Oryzias latipes: one gene and its partner. The protein of the gene in region 1 interacts with the protein of each later gene in a pairwise test. Links are inferred from orthologs where the notes say so. Each region holds a gene or a part of one and is shown on either strand. Other genes may lie near its edges.

Region 1 (3,776 bases):
AGGGAAGGGGCAGGGGACAGATGGTCATAGGTCCCATCTTCCTTGCAAAATGTGTGTGCGTGTGTTTGAGAAGATGCGTGTGTGCATATGTGTGTGTTTATTATTATTAAATGTTTTTTTTAAAACATTGAAACAAAAGAAAAAGTTACATTTTTACGCTCATGCATGAGCGTAAAAAGGGTGTGACCTTTTGACCTCTGACAAAGCCGAATTAAAAGGACATTTATTGAGCCTTTTCAATAGTGGCTTTTTAAGTATTTCCTGAATAGGGGACATTTTGCCACAGAACATTAATCAGTCACACACCTGAACAAAAACTTAGCTTGATGCCAATTTCTTTCAACAAACACTTAAAGATCAACTCCACAGTCAGTACACAGATATTACCACTAGAGGTCCCGAGCGACCAGCTTTTCTGGGACCATCTTCAATTTTAAAGGGGACTCCAAAAGACTTTCTGCCTGTTTGAAAACCTAATCTTTAATCCAGTAAAGTTCAATGATTTCTGCTCAGAAACAAATGTAGTCACAATGAGTCGTGATACAATTTGTGCAAAACCTCATTTGTTTATTGCTGTTTGTTTCTCAGCTATGCATACATTTACAGATGACAGTAGTTTCCATTGTTTCCTGCCTGGTCTGTCTTTTACTTTTTGCTTCCTTCTACACATTACAGGAAATACTTCAGCAATGGAAAAGAAAAGTGGCTTTACTGTGTACATTTTTGATCAGTTTTTGTTTGTCTTTCATTTATCTCACTGACAGCTGCTCAAACAGGTTATTAGTTACAGGTAGTCTTAAGAACTACTATATTTCTATCAAAGTAGCAGTTTTTTTTAAAATTTTGCAGCTGAAACTAAGAAAAAAAAGATCCGTTGACTGGAAACTAACTTTCCACTTCTGGTACTTGTTCACTTCAAATGACAACTGGCAAAGGTATCACATTTTAAAAACTGCCAGAGGGTCGAGCAAAAGCTTCCTTTAAAAATAAAGACTTAACTATAATGATGATAAAATAGTTTATTATACAATCACAATTTGAGTCCTGTGTGACTTTGACAGGAAGTATGATTGTTTAAATATTTCTGCAAAAAAAAAAAGTACAGAGTTGTGAGAAACCTAAAGAAAAAAAAAGGTCATTAATAAAACTCAACTTGAAGAACAACTGTTTTAGAAACTATTAAAAAAATGAATATGCACAGCAAATTATTTGCTTATTTGTGTTCTGCTTTTATTTTTTACATTACTTTTGTCTCTCTGAGGCTGAATGCTGTGCCGCAAAACAACGTCTGAATGCAAAAACATTTTTTTTTCTAAATTAAGGGAAATGTCTTGTGTTGCCGAACATAAAAACAATATGGGAACATATTTTATTAATATTGTTGCTTTTGTATTATTTTTAAAACATCATTAGTGTTGCATCAAACTAAAAAAAAAAAGAATACAGGATTTATTTAGAGTAGTTGTCACTTTACTGTTTATCTTATCACATTGGATCCTAAACTCTAACAATATGAAAGCAAAGGTTGCGTAAAGCTGCGTGGGCAGGAAACATTTTTTGTTTTCAGTTTTATTATAGAATTCACCACTTTTAAAAAGCAAAAATACAAGTTATCACCACAGAGGGGTTTGATGATATCAGTGTCGTCTTTTGAACTTTTGTGATGAGAAACATAGTAAAGAAGGAGCTGCATCCTGCAGCTTGGGACGTTCAAGGACACGGCGTTCATCTGTTGACGGTGAAAATGCATGACGTAAAACAAAAGCTGCAGATGGGGGAGGGGTTTGCGTTGAGCTTCATCAGAAAAGCGTTGTTGTTTTTTTTAGTCTGAGTCACGTGAAAAGATAAACAGTCAGGTTAGGCAAACAATAAAGCAGTTTGTTTATTTGAATCTGTGAAACCCTTGTGCTATCCGAGGCACTTTAACGTTGGGAGTTGGGTCATCTAGACCCACTAGACAGTGCGCTGAACTTTTTTTCTTCAATGATTTGTGATCTTCACTGGTGTCCATGGATTACATGAAATCTTTCCACCTTTATCCACCTTTGTCATGGTAGGAATAACACCTCAATGTAAGGGTGGGGTCATCTAAGATAGCACAAGGGTTAATCTCTATGCATTCATTGGGTTCTGCAGCAGGACCAGCAGGACGTGTGCTGCTCACGGCGCCCACACAGAACAGCCTCCTCGCTGCTGCAGCAGCCAGCCGCTTCTAAAGCACTGACTGTGGCGTTGAGGACAGTCAGTGCACATCTCTTCCCACCTTTCATTTTAGGGGTTAATGAATCAAGTGAGAGTCTATGGTCTAAAGCATTTTTCCACCTCCACCTGCTCCTCCTCCGTCTGTCATCCCTCATACTGGGTGAACAAACTGGTACACCAGTCTCTGGGACACATCAGGCTTCCTGATGATGCCCTTCTTGTAGTACTGACGAATGGAGCGGCTCAGCTTGTCATAGTTCATGGCGGGTCGGTTCTTCCTGAGCCCCCACAGTCTGGCCACATGAGCTGAGTCTTCGATTTTAAAAATACCTGACCAGACACAAAACAAGACATCAAATAGACGTCAAACACGCACGGACAAAAATGGCTTTTAAAGTTCATTTTTGGTTTTAACAATTCTGTAAAAATGTTTTATATAGTCTATAAAATCTGTTTTTATTGTGAACCTTAATCTACTTGTTAATTTACACTAGCAAAAAAACATTAGTGAAGTTTGCAGCTGAGTTGGAGTTTGAAAAAAGAAACTAATTTCATAAAAGCATCTAACAAAATCATAAATTAGAAGGGCCATATATGAGTCTAGATACTCTGATTATGTGGATTACCATGCTGTACTAGTAATGCAAACAGAATCTGAGAAAAAAATGAAAACAAATGAGGTCCAGATGATAGTAGATTTATTATCTACAACACAGAAAGTTTCTGTGAAGGCTGGAACTGTAAAGTTAAAAAAAAAACGTCGAAACATCTCCAGTAACCAGGAGTTCTGGACCTCCTGATGAAGCAGCCAGTCTTACGAAATTGACACAAAGGTATCTGAAAAAAGTCTTTAGCGGGATTTTGGACAGGCTCTAGTGGAATAAACCAAATCACTTTCAGGGATGTCAAACCCCAGTCAATATTTTAGCCATAAGAAGCAACAATGGCAAATAAGTTGGAAAACATGTAAGACATCAGCCTTCGAGGCCTGGAGTTTAACACCAGTCCCTTAACCTAAACTTATTTTGTTACATTATATTTTGTTGTATCTTTGGCTAATGTTAAACTACACATGTAAAGTTCTCTTTTTATTTTAAAGTTCTTAAACTCAACAGTTTTTCACTCAGTGTTTACCTTTCTTCGTTGAAAACTGTCCAAAAAAGACAAAATAGGCAACAACAACAACAAAATCTCACATTTGAACTGCTATGGTAACTCCTCTGTACCTTTTTCTTTGTTGAGCCAGCGGATGCAGCGTCCATAGTTGTGCGGTTTGAGCAGGAGCTCTCTGAGGAACTGCCACAGGTGAATGGGTTGTCCTGAACATGACGAATCTGCCTCGGACCACAGCTCCTCGCTGGCTGCACGACAAATGCCAAACATTTGACCTTCAGTTCAGAAAGCCACAAACACCAAGTTTGCAAGGAATAAAAGTATTACAGGATTTCCTTAGGGGGAAAAAAAGGGGGGGGCGGACGGAAACGGAGCCTATTTAAGCACTTATTGGTACATTGTAATTACAGAAAAATGAATGGGAAAGTAGAAACTTGCTTTTACATGACATTTTTTATGTT
Region 2 (3,185 bases), on another chromosome or scaffold:
TTTACAATACTATGACTGGTGCATTAACTAAAGAGGAGAACATGACAGCCATTCTGCTTCACTTCTCAGTAACAAGAGAAAAATTGACAGATGTAACTTTTTTTATCTGCAAAAAAAAAAAAAAAGCTGCTTGTCACCGATTTGGGCTAAGATCGAACAGTGGATAGCTCGGGTTTTACATTTAACAGCCAAATAAGAGAAAGCTTGCACTTTTAATTTGAAATTCTTTTTCTTATTTCTTCAGTCACTCTATTTGTAAATTTACACAAATTTGTTGTTCTTTTTTACAGCATTTTCCTCTGAGAGAATCTCATCTTCAAGGTGAAACATCATAAACAAATAAACAAAGAAAAAACTGTCTCAAATAAGACACTGACTTCAACTCTATACAGTTACCCTCCTTATGATGTCATCTCTAGAAAACTGAAGAGCTCTCTATCTCCCTGTAATCAGATCAGTGGCTCTTTATAGGAGCCAAGTCTCATTCTTTAGCCCTCACTGACAACATCACACATATCTCGGTGCAGTCATAGAGTTCAACGGCAGATACTTTAAATGTTTTCAGAGAAAGGCCCCCAGTATGTCAAAACTGAAAGGATTTCACACACATTCTGCTGTTGTTGCTGCCCCCTTTAAGAGACTTTTGACATTTTGTTTTATTTTGGAGGCTCGCCTTGTTTGTAGGTTTGGTTCATTGTTCCATTAAAAAATGTTAGAAAATTTATGGTGGTAATTTGAGAATGATTTACACACATTTCTTGGGGGGGGGGGGGGGGGGGGGGGGGGGCACTGTTAAGACGAAGCTTAATTAAGTCATGGGGTTCTCTGATTTGTAAATCCACGTCAGGTCCAAGGAGTTTACAATTTCAGGAATTTTTATGGTCAATTCACAAAAGCTGAGAAGAAATATGAAGTCCTTGTCAAACAGAAAATTCCAGCAACTTGTTTAATACAATAAATCATGAGGCATTTTCACCATAACGCCGGAGCCCAGGGGCCACTGCAGTCCCAAAGGTAAGGTTTGTATTGATAAGCTTTATAGAAGGAGGTAATCAGTGATGATCTGACCAAGTCCTCTCTTAGTCCCAAACTGTCTGCTTTGTATGCATCCTTGCACATCTCGGATGTTTGCTGCTTTCTTTTGGTTTTGTATCTTCTGTTCTGGAACCAGATTTTCACCTGCGTCTCGGTTAGTCTTAAGGAGGTGGCCAGGTGAGCCCTCTCCGGGGCAGACAAGTATTTTTGGTGGTTAAATTTCTTCTCCAGCTCCAGCACTTGGAGGTGGGTGAACGCAGCTCGGGAGCGCTTCTGTTTCCCCGTGGAGTTTAAATTCAGCTGTGGGGAGCCGCAACAGGATGGGTCTACAGACTCTGCAATGTAGAAAACAGATGCAATCAAATGAAAAATTGTTTTTACTTTACTTGCAGTGATTTGTTACAAACTCATAGTACAAGCAGGTGTGTTAACTCAGTAAATATCCGTTTCAAATTCCATTTCTTTCAGTTAAAAATTCGCACATGTGGTGTCTCAAACGTACAGAAACTCACCTGTCTGTTTTTCATACTCCTGAGGAGGAACTTGTTCCAAATCCTCCTTCCGCTGAGAGCATCTGTCTGTCTTCAGAGAGCTGAATTTACCACTAAATCCTGTGCTGCCTTTATTGGACAGAATGTCCTCGATGAGGAAAGACGTGACAGGTTTGACCGTGGAAGACATTTTCCATCCAGTGTGTCAGAAACCTGGAGCTTCTCAGACAGTGTGTCTGTCCTTCTCACTTGGGAGTTCTTAAGTTTTAGAAGTGTGGGGGTGGATTCATTCAGACTGAAGTGAAGGAGGCGGGCTCACTCGTCCAATAGAAGTTGGTCTGCCTTTCTAGATCACCTTGTTTTGACTTTGTTGACATTGTTCTTCAGGAGTATTTTTTCAAGGCTGCTTTGTCCTACACGCTTCCACAATGTGTCTTTGAAAAAATCAATGCAAATACAAGGGGCTGATTTCGAAAGCATTTTTTTAAAGAACAGATAGAGTCATCCAGTTTTTTACATTAAAAAAAATCAAAATTATTTTTCAAAGTAAACTCTTATCAAATCAAAAGAATGCTTTTGATTTAGAAATTGTGACGTTTTTAACTTTGAAAATCAATTAGCATACTTCAGTCTAATGAGCCTTATAGCTCTAAATAGAATAATATTTATGTTTCTGGAAGTAGTAAACAAAAAAAAATCTTCACATTTTTTTTGTAAAATTGTTTTTTATTTTATTTCTTGGTTTGTCAACTTAACCTGTGCAAATAAAGCTTCATGGTTTACAGATTTTTATTGCTCACTTACTTGGAGGTTCGGAAAATGTCTAAATCTATACGTCAGTAATAAGATATTGACAATATGTATTTTAGAATTAAGTGTTTGCATGAATGTAATATTATTTCATCACAAAAGCCAAAGTTAAATGTGAAAAGAGACTGAAATAGACTTTCATTTTGCAGTGGAACACTGAGTTCTCTGAGCAGAATGAAACTTTCTGCCCCAGACATTCTTTAAGTCCATGGTGCCATAGCAGTTAAATGGATTTATGTCTTAATCCTGACTCCCCATCACCTCGGAGTAGCAACAAAGTGGCCTAGGGAGACAAGTCTGTGCAGTAGCAGGGCAGAGGGGTCAGGGTGGGTGGTCAAACCTCCTGGAGCACTAATGAGTTTGACACATTTCAGCCGGCTCCTGAATGGACACACTCATTGTTTGCTGGCTGCTTATTTGTTGTTCTCTGCCGTGCGGTTTGACCTCTTTCCGCCAAGTGAGAGACATCCGTGTTGCTCTGGGATTTCAAGCTTCATCAGGAAACGTCTGAATGCAGGTATGATAAACACGACCCGCCACATACCTTCTGGTGTCTACGTGTTGATCCTCAAAAAACACTTCAATATTTGCTCTTAACTCCTTGAAATTCTGCTTTAGCTTCAACATTTGTCTTGTCAACACAGTGTTAAGATGAGCAGTGTGATGTATTTAGCTCTGACTTGTCTGCTTGAGAATCCCATCGTCTAGACACTCCATTTCATCTTTCATAATTCTTCACATAATAATTTTGACCATAGCAAATGCTTTAAAGGATAAAATGAAGATTGATCTAAAATCTTTGAAACAAAAACCCCCACGTAGTTTTTGTTTTTTGTGTAAAACTCCTTG

What was found.
Region 2: the proteins of spdef (region 1) and homeobox protein Nkx-3.1-like interact in a two-hybrid assay, tested with the Homo sapiens proteins (2 studies listed by BioGRID). The link is inferred for Oryzias latipes from reciprocal best matches to the Homo sapiens genes SPDEF and NKX3-1.

Annotation. Positions count from the first base shown.
Region 1 is NC_019863.2:14,623,847-14,627,622, forward strand, and holds the end of spdef (SAM pointed domain-containing Ets transcription factor), read right to left. Parts: intron 3,564-3,776; coding exon 3,429-3,563; intron 2,533-3,428; coding exon 2,354-2,532; 3' UTR 542-2,353; downstream 1-541. UniProt on the Homo sapiens protein: May function as an androgen-independent transactivator of the prostate-specific antigen (PSA) promoter. Binds to 5'-GGAT-3' DNA sequences. May play a role in the regulation of the prostate gland and/or prostate cancer development.
Region 2 is NC_019867.2:16,767,330-16,770,514, forward strand, and holds homeobox protein Nkx-3.1-like, read right to left. Parts: upstream 1,792-3,185; 5' UTR 1,717-1,791; coding exon 1,548-1,716; intron 1,371-1,547; coding exon 973-1,370; 3' UTR 780-972; downstream 1-779.